Linked DNA regions of Drosophila melanogaster. Changing the gene in region 2 together with the main gene of any one other region gives a genetic interaction. Each region holds a gene or a part of one and is shown on either strand. Other genes may lie near its edges.

Region 1 (9,420 bases), on a different chromosome or scaffold from region 2:
ACACGCATCTCGAATTGGTCATCGGGCAATACATATTTCCACATGACCATCGGAAATCTGGTTAGGGGCTCGAAATTGTTATGTGAAACGTCGCTGGGCTACAAGATGGACGATCTGCTGACTTCATATATCTCGTTGATGTTGACCAATATGAACAAAAATCGAACCATTCGAGCCAACTAGTAAAACCTACACATAACGCAAAATATTTATAATAATTATAAATTACAATTGCAATAACTTATAAAAGCCTAGTACTTTATAGATTTAAATCATACTTAATACCCACCTCCCTTTATTCCAATTGCATTCCCTTCCCAGAGAATTCATTCCAATTTTGGTCTTGTTCAGCTATCGATTATACCAAACCAACTTGCAACTTTTGTTTTTAGTATTTGTATTTGTATAAATTTTTGCAATTACACGTTTAGGTATTCTTATGGCACATTCCGGTTAAATTATTAAATACAATGTTTTTGTATGAAGAAAAGGTCTTACATATTTTTAGATAAGCATTTGTATCTACACATATTGCATCTATATCTTTGTATATCCTAACTGCATATCTGTACTGATGACGTTTTGTATCAAATACATAGAAATGTTCAATTATTTAATAAATTATATACAAATTATGTGGTCTTTTTAATAGAATCGGATGGAAGGTAAGGTCATCTCATTGACCTGGATTAATGCAAATTTCATTTCGATCAACGGTTAGAAAATTATACTTCGGACACAAACAAACGTGCAAACACGTAGTTAAATGTCTTAAGTTCATTTCGTTTAGAAACAAACAAACGAACTTTGGACACTTAATAACACTTAACTTGAACAAATGCTTGTGACAAGTCTTGAAAATGGGTTCGTATAGAACAAACCAATCTATTTTAGACAAAAAATGCTGTGTAAGCACAAGTGTTAATAGTTCATTAAAGTCATTAATAAATAAAATAATTAGTCTTATATAAATATCTTTGTTAAGTAACAACAATGGAACTAAACAAGTTGAAGTAACGGTTACGACCGACCCCTATAAACTTTGAAAATCCGATCGATTTTGCCATCGATTTACCAATCTTGACCTACGGCTTTGGATTTACCGCGCATGGAAGGGAGTACGTGTCCAAAGTCTTGTGAATACAAATTTTTATAGGACTGGATTATATAGTTTCCCTTGATTTTCTTGCCTGACTCCCACGCCACCGATTTCCCACGCATTGTATTTTGCGAGAATTTCCATTTTTCCCCAGCGTGTGAAAAACGGCAGCAGTCGGCACGGCAAGCTAAAGACTAAAGACGACGGCAGGTAGACTTAGATTTTTCAAGATAATGAACTTTTTTAGTAGACGGTATGAGGTTGTGTAGCAGTCCTGAGAACTTTTAGAAATTGCTGTCTCCCCCTTTCTAAAAACGACCACAATCATCGCACTCGCCTATCCAAACAGTGGTGGAGAAAGAGGGCCTGGGGAAATGTGAAGGAATTGTTCATTAAAAATTCCAAACTAATTTCATATTCAGCTTCTTATAAGACGGCGACGACCTTAAGAGGTTGCAGTTCCAATTGCCAGAGCCAGAACTTTTGGTGGTGGTTTTTCCATCATAATGAACACAGGCGGCCGCCAGTAGTTTGATTCCTCACGCAACCAAAGTTCGTTGTTTAAGTCTTTCGTTCCCATCGCCCGGTGCAGTAAAATCTTAGGGGTTGCAGCCAAGTTCCTATTGGCTGACTCTGATAAGAAATATGTCTCCCAAGTGCAAGATGAGATTAAATGCTTGGCCAGCGCTCACCTTCTGATTCCGTCGAGCGGAAGTGAGCGATAATTAATTCAAAACTGCGAATCTTAATTTGTAAATCTGTAAAGACAGCAGCAGCAACGAATGCATAAATATTCAACAAAGGCAGTAAAAATTCTCACAGCAGCTCGGCAGCGGCTTTTTGGGCTGTGAGAATATTCTGCTCCTTAACTTGGCCAAAACGGAAACAATAGTGTTATATATCTATGTATATTTGCTTCTTAGCTTCGCGTTCAGCAATTCCAGACCAAACTATAATTAAAGTCGGCCCGTCCGAGGGGGTTGAGGCAAACCATCGTGGGAAGAGCTGCACTTGTTTTGTTTAAAAATATTCACACGATACTGGGTAATATTCCCACAGCAATTTAAGGCAACCAATCCTCCCCAGCGCTCCACCTTAGGCCACAGGAAAAATGGTGAACCAGAAGAATCACGCTAAACCAAAAACATAAGCTGACATGATTTGATTATTCTTTGTCATCATTTGGGATTTCTTTTTTTTATTTATGTTAGGCATTTCGCTTACACTTAAATAAATCGCTGTTTTGTCTTGTTGCGATTTTATTTTACAAAATATTTTATTGGGATTTTTAATGCTACGAATTTCCAAAGTTAATAAAAAAATGCAACAAAACTGTATGTACAGAAACAAATTTTTCCCTTTTTGACTTTGTCTTCGACTTTTTAGAAAGCTAAAGAGGGAAATGGAATGTTTTTGTAGCGTGGCTACTGGCTTGTGTATAATAAAAATTTCCGATGCATTTCGCAGTATTTTTTTTTTTCATTTAGATCTTTGGAAATTCATAGCAAAGAAAATCATAAATATTTCAACCGCATCTAAAAATCGTCTATAAACTTACATCAATTGTATATTTAACTAGAATTACATGTTTTGTGTAAAGGTATATTCATGCACATACAAATGTATGTATGTATGTCAGTGAGCTTTTCGAGTTATGTACAGAGTTTTATGTGTCATTTACAATTCTATTGGTTCCGAACTAGCACTAGATACATGTGTAAAGTATGATTCACTTTAGAGAGAAGGGGACACATTTTGGTTTACGTCACGAGGGGTTGAAAATTAGTATGAGAAAAATTGTCAATCTACAAACTAAGGTCTTCGATAAAAACTATAAATAACTTAGGATACATATGTGTGCGATGCAATAATCCTGCACTCAGGATAAGCCGCTACCATGACTATTCCATTGCACTTCTGAGATGGAGGGCAGAGCCTGATGCTGCTGCTGTTGTTGTTGCAAGCCACCGCCGGCTGCCGGCGATCCCGCATTGTTGCTGTTATTATTGTTGCTAATGCTAGTGATGTTATTATTGTTATTGTTCTGTCGCGCTCGCATCACATCCTCGGCCTGTGTATTGCAGTGCGGCCGAGGACCTGGTTCAGGTGTATACGTGAAGGTCAGACCGGTGGCATAAATTATTCCATCGTTGCGCACCAGCGAAATGGGCACCTGCGTGGGCTGACGTACCTGCAAGGACCATTAAAAGTAAAATTTATAGCGCGTATTAAACAGATTTACATTGGAAAACCTACCCAAAGCCATTCGCCTCGAAATTGTGAAATCTCCGGCACCACGCATAGCAATGTCTCTGTGCAGCGGTACATGGTTTCCGCCTCCACATCGCCAAACCACACCTGCAGATGCGGCGTAAAGTTGTCGCCACTCAGCTCTAGCATGGCCACATCCCCGCCGCCATTGAGATTAAGGGAATTAACGATTGGCACTGGAGTGACTGGAGAACTGGAAGAAAACACGAAATGAAAACTAATCCATTGAGTTGTAAGTAAGCTATACTTACGCCACAGGACCCATGCCCTCGTAGAACTGGTACTCAGCCTTGTCGGTGGATATGATGGTCCAGCAGGCGCCGTCATTGATCATCTCCTTGTTCGGCTCCTTGGGGCACGGCGTGGCCTGGAACTGTATGATTTTCTCCTGCGACAAACAGAGATACATCCGATCCGTATCCTTCATGTAGAAGGCGCATTTGTGCAGCTGAGAAACGGGATCGTCGGCTTCCAGCAGGGCCATCTGCTTGTCTACCTTCCGGATGATCAGACGTGGCAGGGCCATGCCCGTTACGGAGCACACCAGTTTGACTGTGGCTCCGTAATGAATGTAACCATCGCGCACCTGAAACTCCTCCGACTCGGACTCATTGTCATCCAGCAGGTGTATCGTAAAAGCTCCCCATTGTGTTGACGACGCATGAAAGTGTCCGTTCTCCACGTGAAGGTAACGGGTGGAGACAGTCTGGGAACGCAGGCGATTGAACAGGGCTACATTGGTGCCGCTGGCTATGCACAGATCGGCATTCTTTAGCGACTGTTTCTTTTTGGACGGCTTGGATATAACCTTGATCCGTTTCGAGTTAAAAACGCCAATGTCATGACCGTTTCCGTAAAACATCTTCACCGACAGCATAAAGTGTTTTCGCTTGTCCGAGTCCGAGATGAAGAGCGTCTTGGCCGCACAGTACTGCTTGCCATTGAGATCCAGCTGCTGCATATCCTGGTCACTGCTCCCGATACCGATGAACGCGCATAGTTGTGCTCCCTGTTCGCCCTCGCCCTGCTGCAACATCTCCTCGTACCGCCGGCGCCAGCCACTTCCGAACAGATAAATGCACGGCGGTGGGCAAAAGAATCGCTTCTCATTGCCATAGGACTTTTGGGCCACCTGGAATTCACACAGACAGACAGACAGAGGCGCACGATGGTGCAGGGAAAATTCAATTAGTACAAATTGCCGTCCAGATTATCGGAAAATCATATCAAAACCGCAAGCAATGCAGCTTTGTTAATTTTCTGTAATTAATTTCAATTATTTTCATTGCGGACTGGACCGCGCTCGCGTTGCTCAATTTGCGGGCAGTCGAGTGTGAAGGATTCCCATTTGGCGGCAGTCGTCGCTTGAAGATCGCCACCGCTAAAAGCAACCGCGACAATTTTATTCCATTTTCATGTCTGCGTTCGCCAAAAACCGCAAAAATGTAACACTTTAAAGTGGACAATGGAAACACTAGCACCTTTAAATAGTGGGTGTGGTTTTGGCGTTGCGGACTGACCGATTAGATTAAAACTAAATTATAAAAAAAAAATAAATATCTTGTAAAGCATACAAGTAATTTTCAAAGAAAGGATACATCGTTAAACTTGAAATAGAAAGAAAATCTGAATTTAATCTATTTAATCTAAAAAATCGAATAATTTAGGAAATCGACGTACAAAACTGACCAAGTTTCTAATTTAAATGAAAGTTAGGATATCCTACGTTTCTCCAGTTTGGGTTAATATATTTTTAGTAATATTGAAATAATGTATTTCAAGCTTCAAATAATTTAATTAAGACTTAAGACTCAGGAGTTCCCTTGTATGTTTTAGAATATCTTGAATACTAAATCCAGACCAAGCACCTGATAATACCGGCTTAAAAGTGGAAATCCTTTCGTACCTTGGCGTGCAGGATAACGATGACCATGTCGTTGCGCTCGCGCATGTACTTCTCCATGGCGTCCCGCGTGAGCTTCTTCTCCTCGATGTGTGGCCGGTAAGGACCCGGCAGCAAGGACATCTGCATTTGTTGTTGATGCTGCTGTTGTTGTTGTTGTTGTTGCTGCTGCTGCTGCTGTTGGTGGTGCACTTGCAATTGTTGTTGCTGCTGCTGCGACGACGGCGGCTGCGGACCGGGCAGTCCAAAGTGCGGCATATCCTGGCTCTGTTGTTGCTGCTGCTGGTGAGGATCGAGGGGTGAGCCGTTGGGATTTACAACCGTAGTTTCGTAGGCAATGGCGGGCGGGGCGGCGGCGTTTAAATTAAATTGGCTGTAGCTCTTCATTTATGCACATGTCTCCTTGCATTGAACTTATTGGAATTTTGTTTGGATCTTTTCTATTATTTCGTTTTTGGCTATTTGGCAAATTCGTTTGGCACTTTATACACTGTTCGCTGGTGCTGTTTTTGTTGTTGTTGTTGCTGCTGTATGTTTTCTATTTTGTTATCCTGCTGCACAAACACACACGCAGAGCAGCTGTCGTTTCTCTCACGCACTCTCTTCCTCTTAACCGCGGATTGGCTTTGTTGTTGTAGCTCAAGCTGGATTTGCGGCTAGCTGCGATTCACGACTAATCACACATATTTCAGCGTTTCGAGCAGATCTTGACTAGCGACTAGCGGTAGTGGCGGCTGGCTTCTGTTTAAGGCTGCAACTAGCGCTCGAGTTATATTTATAATATGCTACAACTAAAAAAGCGACTGAGGATGTTGATGTTGTATCGATAGTCCGATAGGCGCTTATTTATGATAGTCGCTGCCTACCGGCGATATGTTTGTCGCTTCACAGCACTGTTGGTTGGATTTGGATGGCAGTGGGCATTTGGTTATTTTATAGCCAATTTGGAGTAGCTAATATATTTTGTTTTAACTTTGCAGTTTCTGAATACATTTGTATATTTATTCCCATCACATCACTGTTAAAGATATTATTTCTTATATCTATAAATACTTTTAACTGATGCGAAAGGTATCGATTTTCATTGAACACTTCGATTTTGAGCGCCCACATTTAAAATTCAAGGTACAAACTACCAACCTTCTTGTCTAACTGTCCATGCATTTTTAAAACGGGCCGTGGGAAAGTACACATGGGTGAATTTAAAAGATAATTCGCGACTTTAGGCTTAAATGTAACCGTTTAAATAGGTTTAGTGGCAGAAACACACAATATGCAACTAAAAGCTGTTAATTATGTATCAGAATGTAAGCTGTAACTCATTAAAAAACGAATCTGGTGGAGTACACTTAGTTATTCATATATTTTAGCAGTCACAGTGTAAAGTGGAAAAATCTACAATCACTGAATATCATTTGCAATCCGATAGGCAGGTACAATCGATATCACCGCTCGATTTTCGGTGCATTGCCATATCTAACTTGTGAAATCAAAAATCGGTTCCGTTCGGTGCTTGAACTTTTGAGATATTCTAGAAACACATCCACAATGGAGAACTTTAAGGGTCTACAAAAATCCCTATACATATGGACGGACAGCGCCGACTTGGACAAGCGCGTGGAGCAACTAAAGGCGGCCACTGGCGGCGATGTGGCTTTGGAAAATGTGCACCGCCTTTCGTTTTGTAAGTTGCGTGCGGTGCGGTGTGTGTGTGCTGTTTTTGACTAGCCAGTGAGTCAGCAGATTAAAATCAGTGATGTTTATGCATTACAGCTTCCTATGCCAACTCCAGTTTCGACCTGATTGTGATCGAGTGCGCCCAGCTGACCGACAGTTACGTAAAACTGCTGCACATGCTGAAACCGAGTGGCAAACTGCATTTGGTGTCCTACATCGGTCCGGCGGCTAGTTTGCTGCAGGAGATCAAGCTATCCGGATTCATAAACTGTCGCGAGGACTCTCCAGATGCTTTGACCGCCGAGAAGCCTGGCTACGAGACAGGATCCTCAGCCAGGTTGTCATTCGCAAAGAAGAACGCCAGTGCAGTCAATGTGTGGAAGATAAGCGGTGACGATGAGGAACTGATCGATGAGGAGGAGCTGCTGGACGAGGAAGACAAACAGAAGCCGGATCCGGCTGGTCTGCGTGTCTGTAGCACCACGGGCAAGCGCAAGGCGTGCAAAAACTGCTCCTGCGGGCTGGCCGAGGAATTGGAGACTGAAAAACAGAGCCAGAAGGCCACCGAGAATGCCAAGTCAAGCTGTGGAAATGTGAGTTCTCTTAACCCCGATGTGAGTTAGCATTAACCTCGATTATAACTGATTTCTTATATGCACAGTGTTATCTCGGCGACGCCTTCCGCTGCTCCACTTGCCCCTATTTGGGCATGCCCGCCTTTAAGCCCGGTGAGAAGGTGCAACTGGCCGACAACCTCCTGAAATCCGACATTTAACTTAGGCTCACCATGGTATACCCAATCAATCACATTTCAAATAGTTTATTAAGCTGACTTACTAACAAACAATAATGTCATAATGTAAATACAAAAATGCACCGCGTCATAAACACAGCATGTAGATTTAAATATCCAAGTGATCACATTTCGCATGGTGTACCCTTGATGAGATCGCGGTTCTGGCCCATCAAAATACGATAGTTGACGGCCGAGGGATCGAGTTCCTTGTACAAATATGTCGGCATCTTGTCGGACAGCACCCAAATAGTGCCTTCATTGTCGATTTTCATGTCATTTGGAAAGACCAGAGTGTGCGAATCGGAATCGATTAGCCCCTGGGTGTCCGGAGTGTATGGACGCTTGATGTTCCAACAAGCAATGGCGTCTTTGTTCACCTGCGTATAGAAGATGACGCCGGTCTCGGGGTCAAAGACCTCGGCGGTGGACTGGCCATTCATGCCACGGTCACCAACGTATTTAAAATCGTAATACGAATCGCCAGCGGTCACGTGTGATTCGTTTTGCAGCACGCGGTTCGAAACCTTGAACTCCTTGGTACTGGCCAGGGCATGGAAATAAATGTCCTTGGAGTGATCTGGATTCATTGGGCCCACGGCCAGCCCAAAAACGCCATCCGTCCACTGGAAGTTCACGCCGCCCACATTGAAATCACCATGCAGAGGATCGAAGTGGAAGAAGTTGTGCTTGACGCGGTAGGATTTGTCGTTCCTCAGGGAGTACACAATCACACCGTAGGCACCCAAATCCGGAATGTAAGCAAAGGCATCTTGGCACTCCGAGCGGTCCGCATCCACAACCTAAATATTGATTAATTCGATCAGTTTGGAATTTAAATAATACGCCTATGCATACTCACAATATTCGCAAAGAACGAGTCCTCTTTGGTCTGATCAGCGGGAATGGTGAAACGGCGCAGTAAAGTATCTGTTTTCAAGTCGAAAACCAGGATTGAATTGGGCGTAATCTGCTTGGGACTGCCCAGGATGTCGGCCAAGCCAGTATCGAGCACCCACAGGCGATCGCATACGTCGACTTGAATTCGGAAGGTGGAAATGACAGTGGAGTTGTCCTTCAGCTGGATGCCGGCATCTTGAGCCTTGTCCGCGTCCAGACGTCCACCGGATGGTGTCTTTTGGTCCTGTGGCTGCACATCGATGGGCAGCTTGTTGGCCTCCCAACTGGGATACGGATGCAGCTTTGGCGACTTCTCCGTCGAATTAATGTCGATGTAGTTGAGTGTGGCAGCAACACCAGCCTTCCATCTAAAGGGAAAGTAGATCATTTAATAATGAGGAGAAATAAATTAACTAAAAAATTTACATTTCAGACTTGTTTAGTTACTAATTACATTTAAACCTGACACTGGCAAGTAACAAATTAATAACATTAAAAAGTACCATTCACCTGCGCAATTATTATGACTGATTGGATATAGTCTAATATAAGCTATAGTTTTAATTTATATCTTAGCACTATCAGTTAAAACTTTGACGGCAACTATAGCTTAAATAATTATGCTGTATTATCAACAAAATATACTTTTTTTACGTATCTTATTTTTCGAAATGTTTTTAAATCGAATTTTGTTTTGATTACTCATATCTCCCGAAAAGCAGAATGGTTTTCGGGGCTTTTTGGCCAATAAGCGCATCGGTGGTAAATCCCAAAAAG
Region 2 (7,683 bases):
GCCAGCCAGCCAGCCAGCTACTCATAATGCGGAAGATTGCACCAAGTTCAGTTTGCTCCTTACTTTCCTTTCCTTTCCTTACCTTTAGGTTCCGTTCCGTTCTGTCTCATGTTGTTTATCTGGCCGCTCGGATCTTGAGGTTTCTACGTTCTGTACTTTGGCTGTTGGGTTTTTAACACAATTTAGCGGCGTCTCAGTCGGCTAAGGGATATATCCATACATACATAGATATATGTATGGGCTGTGCTGGCGAGGGCGAGTAGATCGGATCAGAATGCTATAACGGCTTTGTCTACGGTTGCACAGACCCTGTTGCTCGAACATTCAACACCAGCGGATAGCTCTGTGCAACAAGTGCACGGCCAACGCATTAGAATCTCATTTACTTACTCAATTACTTTCATTTGAATCAAACCTAGATAAGCAAAAAACCAAGCAATCCTTATCGGTCAGTTTATGTCATAATCATATAGATTGCCCAACTGCAAGGTGCCTTCTCTTGGCCATAAAGCTCTACAAATATAACAGCTCTATTTGCTAGCTTTATAATCACAACCAACAGTAAACCTCTTGTCGAATCGGAAATGGAGTCGTTATTGGAATGGAAATTGGCAAATCATTTAATGATGGCTAAATGCGGAAGGTGAATTTAAATGTGATAAGATAATGATTATATGAACTCTTAAATGTTCAGTAGTGGTATTGGGCATTCTATTATTGTAAGTCATTTACCCTTCTAAATCTTTTGTTCATTAAGTCACTTAGTGGGAATTAAATTAGAATTGTTTTTCTTTAGTTTGTTTTCCCAACTCGGCTCCATCTTACATTACCGGCCTCCCCTGTGACGACAAATAGGAATTGAATGTTTGCGCCTGCGCGCATTTCGAAATTGCTTTTGGAAAATTTTCATGTTTTCATGTTTGTTATTGTTGTGGGCTTGGCTCGCTGCCCTTGTTGTTCTTGTTGCCATTGTTTGTATATATATATATGTGTTTGTGTTTTGATGATACAATGACGCTGCGCTTGGCAGCTGTTGTCTGTCGTCAGCCAGGTTCTAAAAGGGAGTGAGGGGATCTGGATCCCTGGATTCTGCAGCTTGTCCAACGTTTGCTTCCAGCACTTCCTTCCGTACTAGACAATGGAGTCTCTCTCTCTCACTTTTGCAGCTTTTCAAATATATGCTTAGCAAACTCAAGACAATCTACCTGCTCGAACTCTGAACTCTGAACGCTGATCGCTGAGCAGCGGCGACAGGTGTCGAGCTTTATTTCCGCTTCCGGGCGCTTTTCGCGTATGAACTGCAATAGTTGGCCCAATCGATAAGAACACTATCATTTGGTAGCGTTTTTTTTTTGCGCTCTTATCAGCTGGTTTGTTTCGATAAGTAGGGTAAGTACCTGTTTTGCTCATTCAGAAACTGGCAATGACGTAGACCAAGTTGGCCCAGCTCCGTCACAAGTGGCCGACTTTGAACCCTTCTTTGCTTCTGGCTTTTCTTACAATTGTCGCACTTGTCACCACACCACTGCCGCCCCACCTAAGCTCCCCTTTTATGCTTTTTCTCTTTTATTTTTTTTTTCTTCTGTCAGCTTCTTTTATTGTTATGCGCAGTGCGTAGAACAAGTGGAAGCTTTGTTTGACAATAACAACAACAGCGAGTGAAACATCAGCAGCTGGGGCAAGTAAGAAACAAAAAAAAAAAAAAAAACGTTAAGTTTACACGACTTCCAAGCGCTGGACGGAATCACCTGCCGCATTTTGTTTTTTCTGTAGTCGCTGTTGTGGGCTTGACATTTGACAATAAAGCAAATAATCATGGGAAAAAAGCTGAGCCCCCAGAAGAACGACAACTCGCCGCCGCAGTCATCATAAGAAAATATCAAAAACGGGAGGAAATCCGGAACCGTAGTCAAAACAAACGAAAGCGTTGAGTTAAGAGCTGTTGGATGAAAGCAAAACTAAATTAAGATTGACGAGTTATGTAAGGGTCTCATATTGTGATCGATCGATTAGCAATAAATAGAAAAAATTATGTCTCTTGCTCACAATTTTGTTAACAAATTGCTCATTGCTTTTAGGCAAATTGTTAAAAAGTTACAGCTCTGTAATGATAACTAAGATTAGTTATGAATCCAAACTTTCTTGAACTAGATAAGATCGCCGACAGTACATTTAACTTATTCAAATGCAGCATAAGCGCACATCATTCATTCAATTACTTGGAATGACTCATTGAGCTAGGACTTGAACTTTTTGCGTATGAGCAATAATTTTTAAAGACCCTCAGACTGGAACTCATTTATAGCAGCCTATCAGAAGCTCGACGATTATGAGTAACTTATTGGAAATCGGAGCAAAAGCCAATGACAACTGTCCTCTTATCTATTTTTATCTATTGGATTGATAATATTGTCGTTAGACACCTATTTAATCGTCAACGGGTTCGATTTCCCTCCTAGTTCGGTTTTCATTTTAACGAGTAACGACGATATTTTTTTAATACGTTGTTTTTCTAGCATATATCGTATCGACTTATTACGGTAAGAAATTATCCTTGCAGCAGAGGAATAGAGGGATTTTTCGAGAGAGCGAGAGAGTAAATCGGATTTACAAAATATATTTTAATACCCTAAATTTGAAAAAAAAAGGACATTATAGACTTAAAGAATTTTAGAGCAATCTCTAAAGAAATTAGCATATTGTGAAGCATACTTTTAGAGACGAATAAGTAAAGGTCTCGTGCCCTCCTTGATGTTCCATATTAAATATCCCAATTGTTAACCACAAATCGCCTTTAAGTAATTGATATAAAGTAATGAATTGGATCACCCGAAATTGTTGAGAGAAAACTGCAGGGTTGAGAAAATGCTGGCGTTGCTGTGAGAAGAAAACGTTGGAGAAAACACTCAACGTTTGAGCGAAATGAGCGTGCCGAAGATATTCGAACACGGCCGAACGCAGTCGAACAAATTCCGACCAGTGAGATACGTTTGAGTCGTGAGATACGTTTGAGTTGTATCCGTGAGATACGTTGTGAATGCTACAACTCTGCTCTGCATCGGTGAGATACGTTTGAGTCGTTTTCGCGGCGTCAAATCGAGCAGACCTGTGCCGCTCCGTAGAGCGAGTTCGTCCAAATAAAAAAAGAATTATACGAAATTCCGCCTGTGTTAGGAGCAGAGAAAAGAATAATTTTAAACCAACATACACAATCAGTTAGTTTCCACCGACAGTCCGCAGAAACCATTCGACGGCAACGGAACGGGCGCGCGATTGTCGGCAATCCGTAAGATAGCCAAATATTATTATTGTTCAGATACTCACTGAGGGCGTTGATAAAAGATCAGCCAGACAACTGCAGATCCGAGTGGAGTGTTTTGAAATCAGTGAAATTCTGTGTGAAAAATCGTTGATTTATTAATATTCAAGAATAAAAGTTCCCAGCGAATTTCATCAGCTGGAGTAACCGAAGTGACCCACCAAGCAAATCGAACAACACAAATCGATCGAACGTGTAAAAGGACTTTCGGTTTCATTAAGCGTGTGCAATTGCTGATTTTCCCCGGCAAAGCGGACTTTTTGCGGAATGAATGAAATAAAAAAAAAACAGCAGTGGCAACTATAATAATAAAAACAACAACAGTGCAACAACAGCCGGGGCATCTTCATAGATTTTGGCTCTCCTGAAGCAACAACTTCTGCCTGCACTTGGTATATGTACTTATCACATAGACATATATATACGCACAGATATATAAAACAAAAACGATCGCTTCTCGTGCCAGCGCGTGTGATTGTGTGCGTTCCCATGTTGCATATATATATGCACAAAAAATATATATATTTATCTAGAGCCGACTGTTGCGACGACTTTTCTATATAATCGGCTAGTGAGCACGCAGACATCGAAAAGGTGCACAAATACATCAGCAGATGCGGGTATATATGTATTGCACATATATCTAGCCAAAGCCAAAGTAGAAGATATATATGCGTATAAGCTGAACGCGGCGCACTCTGCTCTGTTTTTTCTTTTATAATTACTTTTGTCTAAAATTAGAAGACGTGTGTGTTGTGTGTGCCCCGTCCGTGTATCCGTATCCGTGAGATACGCGAGAGTGTCCGCGTCTGCTATATCGCACATCATCATCGCCGTACACCATCCGCCGTCCAATATCCACCATCATCATCATCATCATCGCCATCCCCATCATCATCGTCGTCGTCGTCATCAGAGATCAGAGATCTGCAGCGGTGTGTGTGCCAGAAAAGACGACTCGTGAATCAGACTACGGCTACGACTACGGGTGCGACTACGGCTATATAGGCGAGAGATCGCGTATACGGCCAGACAAACATTATCGTATATCTGGCGCCGAGGATTACAATTACAAGAGCAGCAAACGCAACAGCAGCAGCAGGAGCGGCAGCCGAAGTTAAAGCCGAATACGAGTACGAATACGAGTACGAATATCCGAGCCCCACAAACGAATACGAATACAAATACGAATCCGAACCCGAATCGAGGCGATACGAAACGATCGCGCGCGTGAAAAGCCTCGTGAAGAAAAGCGCTACGAAAAAAGTGGGGGAAAAATCAAACGCCACGCGACCTTAGGCCCGTCCAATTTTGGGGGGGGGCGTGCAGCGGGGCGTGGCCGTGCGTCGACTCCTAGCGATCGCTCAAGTGAAACGCGGCGAAATTCTGTTCAGATAACAAAAATGAGTCACCAAAATAAGCAGCAACAGCAACAGCAGCAGCAGCAACATCAAAAGCAACAGCAACAATCGAGTGCGGCAAAGTGTTCATAAATTAATGCTAGGCATACAGTGTGTTAGACCAGTCCGAAATACACTATCCCCCTCTCTCTCGCTCTCGAACAGTCCGTCTCTCTCTTGCCCCTGCTGTCGCTCAAAATGCTACGAAACTATCGAAAGTATTTGCAGGATAAACGGAAATACGACAAGCCACAACGACGAGGCAGCGAATTTTACATTTGTCACGTTTAGGCAAATTGCAAGGACAAAGGACACACCAACCCCCCAGCAGCAGCAGCAGCAGCAGCAGCAGCAGCAGCAGCAGCATCACGCAGCAATACGCAGCAGCAGCAGCAAAGCGCAGCAGCAACACTCGCTATCGAGATTTTGTACATAAAGTCGGGGCAATAGCAGCAACAACTTTGGAGGACGCCATGTATGCGCAACATTTGCGCAAATGGAGTCTAAAAACAAAAAAGCAACTAATGCCATTGATATTGCTAATTATCAGCTACATGTTGCTACTAAACACATGTGTGTTGTCGTCGTCGGCGACGACGCAGCAGCAACAACAACAGCAGCAGCAGCAGCAGCATCTTCCAAGATTATGGGAAGGCAGTGCCGAAGAAAGCAGCTACTATATACCACTGAGTTCGGATAATGGCAGCGGGAGCAGTGAAAGCTCCGCCGAGAGCGGTAGCAGCAGCAGTAGAAGCAGCAGCAACAACATCGACAACAATATCTTAAGTAGGCTGCTCAGCCTCAACAGCAATAGTCTTAGTAGCCGTAGCAATGTTAAGTTAAAGCCAGCAACAGTATTCGACGCCGGCAGCAGTACACCCGCTCAGCAGGAGCAACATGTGGCTGCCGTGCCAGAGCAGCAGCAGCAGCAACAGCAGCAGCAGCAGTCAATGCAAAAAGTTCCAAATACGTTAATCAATAGTCAAATATATAATTTATTATACAATGGCATGCCCAGCGAGGCGGCGAGCAGCAAAATGCGTCGCCACATTCAACCATCACAGCTGCCACATCAGCCAGAGAGCAGAGCGCAATTACCGAGCAACTACAGCAGTCGGCCGGCGGTGCGGAGCTATCTAATCGAGTCCTACGAGATGCCAGAGAGCATGTTAGAGGATCGCAGTCCGGAGCAGGCGGCGCGAAGTCGTCGGGATGGCAGCAACACCAACGGCAGCCGGCAGCAACAGCGCACCGGCCACCGGCAACAGTTGCAGCAGGACAAGCGCGATCACCGCCGCCAGCGGCAGGATCAGCAGAAGGAGCAGCGCCAGCAGCAGCAGCAGCGTCAGCACAAGAGCGGCAACAAGCACCAGCAGCAGCAGCAGCAGCGCAGGAAGCACCAGCGGAAGCACCAGCGATACAACCGCTATTGCTCCGCCCGAGATCCCGCCCAGTTGGCCTTTGCGGCACCCACCGTTTTCCAGGGTGTCTTCAAGTCGATGTCCGCCGATCGGCGGGTGAACTTCTCGGCCACCATGAAGGTGGAGAAGGTGTACAAGCAGCAGCACGATCTTCAACTGCCCACGCTGGTGCGATTGCAGTTCGCGCTGAGCAACTCCAGCGGCGAGTGCGACATCTACAGGGAGCGACTGATGCCGCGGGGCATGCTCCGCTCCGGGAACGATCTGCAGCAGGCGTCGGATATATCCTACATGATGTTCGTGCAGCAGACGAATCCAGGCAACTTCACCATCCTCGGCCAGCCCATGAGGGTCACACATTTAGTGGTGGAAGCGGTCGAAACGGCTGTGAGCGAAAATTATAGTGAGTGGATTTCGATTTTAAACCTAAAGTGGGTGGGCCTAGAATAAGTTTTTCAAAAGCAAGTTTTTGGTTTGATAAGAAAAGTTAGCCACCGATCATTGAACCCCCAACGAGTAGAGTAGCAAATCTTGGAAATATTGCCTTCAACTAAAAGACATGACATGGAAATCTCCCGAAAATTGCTCCCTTTCTCTCGCCACCTTTCTTTCGGCTTCCTCCCATTACATTTCTTTCTTGCCGTCTCTTTTGCGCCATGGCAGCTGCCTCTTTCTACTCTCCACGTTGCTGGTTGTTGTTTAATGAAATTTAGCTGCTTTTTGCAGCTGAATTTCTTATTTGCCAACTTCACGCTCTGCTAATATTCACCAGACCGAAATAATTTTATGCAATACACTCACACCACTGCTACACACACACACACACACACATGCAGGGAAACGTTGCGCATGCGCCTGTGCGATTGCAGTTTTTGTTGTTGTTGTTTTTTTTTTTTTTTTTGCAAGTCTAGGCTCTGGTCTTCTTCGGATTCTTCTACTGGATTCTTTTCTTTGTGCCCGACTCAATTTGGTTGCTGTGCAACAAAAATGCTCACATCTAGAATTTATTATTGCCGCTGCCTCGGCTGTTGCTAGTTGCACATTTTAATTAAATTCGCATTAACTTTGCTCGCTGCTCCCGGCTTCTTCTCCCTATCCCCCTTACTCCCTTACTCCCTTCCTGCCTCCTGAAAAGTGGGAAAAACTTTGAAAACTCATTTCTGTCCGCCCGTCTTTTTAGCTCCAATGTGCAACTCACAACGTCATCGTCATTGTGGTGGTTTGTTGTTCTTGTTCTTGCTGTTGTTGTTGTTGTCTGCATTCGACCTTTGCGGTTGGCAGACCCAACCCAACCCTACGTTCTTCTCCCACTGCTGTTGTTGTAATTATTCTTGCGTCGCGGTTCATGGAGTTTTGCGTCTGTAATGCGACTAAGTGCGATCACCCGGCCCCGCCCCTCGCCGCCTCCCCCGCCTTTGCCTTGCCTTTCCCTTCACACCCTCGAAGGGGGTATTTCAATTTTGGCTAGCAACAAAGGTAGAAATATGTTTTTCGAATCTTTTTAGGTATTATATATACATATGTATATGAGAGACCTTCAATG
Region 3 (5,920 bases), on a different chromosome or scaffold from region 2:
GTAAATTAATTGGCGTGCTCCATTAAAGCATCTTACCAATATCTGCGCATGCTTGTTGAGAGTGTCTTGTTGCACTTCTCTATTTGGTGTCATGCATTTATAAGACTTGTCAAAAGTTGTTTTAATTTCTTTAAGCTCGTTTTGTATTTCTTGCCAGTCCATTTAAAGAATACTATGGATTTATCTATGCAATCGAACTTTATAAATTTTGGCCTCTCTCAAATAGGTTTCTTCAATAATCTTTTTTTTTTTTTCATTCTAGTTTTCTGATATTAAAAATAAAAATTTTAGATCATCTTAATTCAAAATACATTTTGGATGTTTTTTTTTTTTTTTTTTTAAATTTTATCCAAACTATTCTCTGCTTTGCCTATATAACGCCTCTTTATTATCTTGTTATGCTTAACATATAGCGTTAATATAAACTGAGCGACTGTTACGATCGTCATGATCAAAAGGAGTAACCACAGTGACTGAATGTCATCTGTATGGTCGACTATTTTTAAGTTATTGACCACATTGGCCGTATTATCTTTTGTCTGACTATCGTCAGATCCAAACCAACCCATTTTTGTATATTTTTATTTTTTTTTGTTTTATTTTTGGGTTTTGGTTTATTTTACTTTAAAAATATGTTGTTTTGATTTTTTTTTTTTTTTGTTCAATATAGTTACATTTTCCTACCTAGTTGGTGTATGGCTTTACGGGCCATTCTTCTCATCGGGCAGAAAAAGTTCCGCTCAATGTTACAATATTTTGTGTAATATTAATATGCAGCGCAGTGCATCGAGGGTGGTGTGCCACGCAGGGCAACAAAAAAAAATATTTTATTTTTCAGCTCCTATTTGCTTCACTCTGACCCTCCTTGCGTCAGCTGGACGTCGCCGGGGTTGGCACGCTGACACTCCCTCGATGACGTAATGAGCGGGCTGCTCACCACGTTGATGATGATTTCCTCATTTAGGGGTTATGTGGTGGAGCTGCAATGTCTGCACGTATGTTCACAATGCGGTGTGAACAGTGGTCCCTCGCAGTCGTTCGGGCATCTTTTCTTGAAAACAGGCAGGCTTTTCGGATTGGGAGTTGGAGTTTTGTTAATTGTTAACGATTTTATTTGATTTTCTGAGTGAGCGCGTGTGGTGGGGATTTTTTTCTTGAGATATTCGACACAGTGGTCTAGCTCAGCTTGTAGTTTTTGAGCTTTCGACCATTGGGGTGGTGGAGTGTTCGTATATAATAGCCACTTTATGTGCGCTATTCTCTTTTTTATATTATGTCGAACTCCGCCCCTGTTTTTTCCCATCACACTGACACTCTACTCACTCAGATCGCTTTTTTCTTCATAATTGCCGCCGTCTTGGTGGATGAGCATCGAAGTTGAAAATTATCACAAGCGGTTTCCTTTAGCTTCTGCTACAACTTATAACGATCCTTTGTCACGGTCGCCATGTAGTTAATTAGAATTCCAATACTTCTGATGTAGTTAATAAAGTCTCAAAACGCAGTTGGTCATTTTATCTTTATTTGGTTTTTATTAAGCGAGCGTACATTCCAGATCTATTCCTGATTTATAACTGATCTTAGTGTGGTCTACAGGCAGATCTCTTGTGACAGCCAAGTGCTGACACTAGCAAATTCTGCAATATGTAAGTATGTAGTTCATACTCGATAACCAATGGGAGTCGAGTGCGACCCCTAAAGGCGTACATGCTGAATTCGCATATTTAGTATTAGGGTGTATCTAAAGATCTACTAGGGTGACCCTAAGGAATTAGGGTGGTCCTAAGTTTACTTATTAGTCGACTTATTATTATGATTCATATTATAATTATTATTAATATTATTATTATTATTGTTATTATTATTGTTATTATGTTCGTATATACTACACTCCGCTGGATGTGGCCAATCGCAACAAACTGATCAAATGGCTGTGCAGATACCAGGCCAGCAATTGCAGGCCAAAGGTTAACGTTCAGTTCGTAACAGGTCATGAAGTACCATCGCCGGATTACCGGGAAACGTTCTATTGTGCCGCCAGTGGTGCCGATTACAACTCATACACCATGTTGTGGGGTCAGTATTATTTGGAAAATCGCACTAGCGAAAAGAATATGCTCTGGGCTGCAATCAGCTGCACGAGAGACTACGAAACCCATTACCACAAGATGATCATCTCTGGTACGGAAAGTGTTGAACAAAAGAAAATTGGTATCGCCCGTATGTACGAGGAGAATCCTGACTTGGTTCAGGCAATTTTCGAAATGATTACCGAAAACATTATGGAATTAGCGTATAAGTGAGTTATTTTTCATAATTTGATCATCTGAGAGTGTGGTTTGATTGTTTATTGAACACTTAACCTTGTCGCTTTTCAGCTTCCAGAGTTGGTCGGGACACGGCCGAGGTGATCAATGACATGGCGGAGTACTTCACCACCCGGGAGCAACAGCAGTTGCTCAAGGAATTCTACTACAGCAATCACCAGTTCTTCGGTGAATCGGAAGAGCTGCTCTCCAAGTCCCTGGTCACTGTGGAAAAAAACCTTAACTGGGCGGAAACCCATTTGGAAGGCTTAGTAAAATATCTGGCGGACAGAAATGGTAGCTCCTGCCTGGGAGCCACTTCCTTGGTGGTGGTTCTGCTTTTAGCAGTGGGCAGCATGTTGGCCTGGCCCTGATTAGCCAATAAGTTGTGAGGGAAATAAAGAGATTGCCGTGGTCGTGCGCCGCGGGAGAAATGCCCTTTTCGTGTACGCAATTACTAGGCAAAAAGGTTTGGACGGCCCTTGCTTTATTAGGCCATAATTTACGCTGTCGAGCGGCCATTAGAGCGGCATCCGCTGGCCAAGTTGGTCTATAAAAGCCCGGCGGCTGCAAGTGGCGTTTTCCATTCCACGTGAAAGGACACTCGCAGTCGGGCCGACGAGATGCTGCGCCACCTGCTCCGCCACGAGAACAACAAGGTCTTCGTCCTGATCCTGCTCTACTGCGTCCTGGTCAGCATTCTGAAACTCTGCACGGCACAGCCGGATAGCTCTGTGGCCGCCACGGATAATGGTATTTGATAAGGCATTTGATAATATCATATTATTCGCTCTAATGGATTCCATTTACCATCCAGATATTACGCATCTTGGCGACGATTGTCAGGTGACGCCCGTCATCCATGTGCTCCAGTATCCTGGATGTGTGCCCAAGCCGATTCCCTCGTTCGCCTGCGTGGGTCGCTGTGCCAGTTATATCCAGGTGGGTGTTGATATACTTGAAATATAAATTATAATTTGATATAATCTGATGACTTTAGGTTTCGGGCAGTAAGATCTGGCAAATGGAGCGTTCCTGCATGTGCTGCCAGGAGTCTGGTGAGCGGGAGGCAGCCGTCTCGCTATTCTGTCCCAAAGTGAAGCCCGGCGAGCGTAAATTCAAGAAGGTCCTGACCAAGGCGCCATTGGAGTGCATGTGTCGGCCATGCACTTCCATTGAGGAGTCTGGCATCATACCACAGGAAATTGCCGGCTATTCGGACGAGGGTCCACTCAACAATCACTTCCGGCGCATTGCTCTGCAATAGATTCCCCCATCAGTTTAGCACTCATACCCATGCCCATTTGCTCATTAAAATAAATTAGAGTTGCCGTTTCTGCTTGTACACAGTGAAAAATGTGCCTCTGAAAGCTCATGCCAGTGAAAGGGAAACATCAGCAGATATATGATTATTTTAAATTGTAATTTATTTCCCAACTATCTCATGTCATTGCTACTAGTTCACTAAATGGTGTGTGTCCTGCTTCACAGGGTATGTATGTAGATGCGTAACTCCAAAGAAAACAAAGATAATCTTTACACTGCAACTGGATCTAACAATAGGAGTTTAACTACGGCATAATGCATATGACTCGCGCCGCCTACAAGTACTCGACGATATCGCATTTGATGGATATATTCGGACAGCTCTGGCCCACGGCACTGCGGCCCCGATAGTTGGGACTCTTCTCGGTGAGGAGTTTCCGGAAGATGGGCAAAATTGCCGTCTCGCCCTCGAGCAGTTCCGTCTCGCTGCTGGCGCCGTAGATGCTGCTATCCTGCTTGCCGCGCTGCCTGCTCCGCTGCTTATCGGGCGCCACATTGGGCGAACTGTGGTGGTGGGCGGCGTGCTGGATGTTAGAGCTCCGGCTGACCTTACGCGGCTGGACGCACGGCTGACTGTTGGGCGGCGGATCTCGTTCCCGTTCGCTGTCCGTCTCGCTCTGGCAAACGGTGCCCTTTTGCGGTTTTGGCCGATGTTTGTTGCGGTTCTTCTCGGAGACGGACCGCTGGATGGGCGAGGTGGTGTTCGGGTCATAGGTCATCCCGTGGCCGCCATGATGTTCCGCACAGCGCTGCGGACTGGCGTAGTTCCGCGGCGACTGGCGCTGCTTGGCGTGCGACAGCGTGTGCGTGTCCCAGAGGTCACTCTGTGAAACCACGAAATTGGACTTCAGAGCGGAGCCCATGCTGGTGCGGCGATGGTCGGAGGCAGTGGGAGCTATTTTCGATTAGAAAATCGATAGTATTATAGTATTATAAGAGACGCGCAGAAAACTTACTCTTAATCACAGCCGGAGTACTGGGCTTTGAGTGTGGACACATGTTGCTCAACTCCGATTGCGATGTGGAGATGTTGGTGGAGGAGTTCCGGTGCGAGCTGCTGTACTTTGGCCGGGCGGTGGGCGTCTGGCTGCCACTGTCGTAGTGCCTGGAGGCGGTCGATTGACGCCTCTCCCGCATGCTGGAGCAGTCTCCTCCGCTCCGCTTGCCCGCCGTACTGGTGATGCTGCCTATATTATCATCGGTCTGAGCGGACACCGAGTTTCTCTTCTCCAGATGGCGATGATGATGCTGCTGCTGCTGCTGTTGCTGTTGCATCTGCTGGTGTTGCTGCTGCTGCAGGTGCTGCTGCTGCATCTGCTGATGTTGCTGTAAGTGCTGCTGCAGTTGCTGCTGGATGGGCTGCATCATAGTTGGAGCAGGGGCATGCGAGTGGTGCTCTACAATCGATTGCTTTTTCTTTTTGCTGTTGGAGAATATCCATAGATTAGAGTGTATTTAAGACCAAAATTTAAGAACTTACGGAGGAAGCGATGGCGCCATCACTGTAGACTGCACCGACACAAAGGAGTTATCCATCTCCACATGAGTCGAGGTCACACTATCCACGGACGTCATCTCGGTAACTTCTATGACAAACGGGTTGCAATGCATGAACATATCTACGAAATCCCCCTCCTTAGCCACTCACCTGTGGTGCTGGGCATCTCTCGACGCACCGGTGGAGCTGAGAGCCTAACAATGTCATCGTTCAGTATGGGCTCCAGTTCGCTACCGACGTTGGAGCCACCTGTGCAGGTCACCCCATCGATCCATTTGCGTGCCTCGGGTCCCAGCTTGCGGATTAAGGCCTGCAGCTCGTTCTCCTTCTCCATCAGCGCCTTTCGGAATCGGCAGTTTGTGTTCTTTACATCTCGCAATCGTTGCTCCAGTTCGCACACCGAGGAATCCCGGCGTCCGTTTTTGGACATGGGTCTCAACGTGGCCCTAACGCGTTTGTCCACCACGCCCTGGGGATTCCGCTTCAGCTCCACCAACTGCAAAACGATTCGCATGAATATTAACCAAAGATTATACTACGCGGTCAACATCTAGGAAGGATCAACTCTACGGACAGTAATATAGGATAGTTAAAGATATTCCAACAGCAAGGAAGTGGGATTTGCCTACAACCTTGCTGCTGCTCTTAGTGGGTTCTATATAGTTCAAGTTTATAGTTAGTCTGTAGTGTTATATAGCATTTTAAGATCTGTTTTCGAGTACATGTTGTTTCTGTATCAAGGTGTATCAACGCTAGACGAAAGATCAGCTCAGCTGGCGGTAAAGTACGA

Evidence for each region. Genes that interact genetically often act in the same process or in processes that back each other up.
Region 1: of vn (region 2) and Su(H), changing one suppresses a phenotype caused by changing the other (phenotypic suppression), as found in Drosophila melanogaster (one study listed by BioGRID).
Region 3: of vn (region 2) and Burs, changing one suppresses a phenotype caused by changing the other (phenotypic suppression), as found in Drosophila melanogaster (one study listed by BioGRID).

The regions. Positions count from the first base shown.
Region 1 is NT_033779.5:15,036,177-15,045,596, reverse strand, and holds Su(H) (suppressor of hairless), read right to left. Parts: upstream 6,110-9,420; 5' UTR 5,661-6,109; coding exon 5,277-5,660; intron 4,503-5,276; coding exon 3,622-4,502; intron 3,564-3,621; coding exon 3,356-3,563; intron 3,291-3,355; coding exon 2,979-3,290; 3' UTR 2,263-2,978; downstream 1-2,262. Other genes in the region: ck (crinkled), read left to right, coding at 1-183; CIAPIN1 (cytokine induced apoptosis inhibitor 1), read left to right, coding at 6,822-6,957, 7,047-7,543, 7,612-7,725; yellow-c, read right to left, coding at 7,869-8,546, 8,606-9,011. UniProt on the Drosophila melanogaster protein: Transcriptional regulator that plays a central role in Notch signaling, a signaling pathway involved in cell-cell communication that regulates a broad spectrum of cell-fate determinations.
Region 2 is NT_037436.4:5,841,068-5,848,750, reverse strand, and holds the start of vn (vein), read left to right. Parts: upstream 1-3,086; 5' UTR 3,087-5,192; coding exon 5,193-6,543; intron 6,544-7,683. UniProt on the Drosophila melanogaster protein: Ligand for the EGF receptor. Seems to play a role in the global proliferation of wing disc cells and the larval patterning. Shows a strong synergistic genetic interaction with spi, suggesting a molecular interdependence.
Region 3 is NT_033777.3:21,766,622-21,772,541, forward strand, and holds Burs (bursicon), read left to right. Parts: upstream 1-2,896; 5' UTR 2,897-2,929; coding exon 2,930-3,059; intron 3,060-3,123; coding exon 3,124-3,248; intron 3,249-3,306; coding exon 3,307-3,573; 3' UTR 3,574-3,658; downstream 3,659-5,920. Other genes in the region: GABA-B-R2 (metabotropic GABA-B receptor subtype 2), read right to left, coding at 3,908-4,527, 4,589-5,055, 5,113-5,215, 5,281-5,626. UniProt on the Drosophila melanogaster protein: Final heterodimeric neurohormone released at the end of the molting cycle, involved in the sclerotization (tanning) of the insect cuticle, melanization and wing spreading. Heterodimer specifically activates the G protein-coupled receptor rk.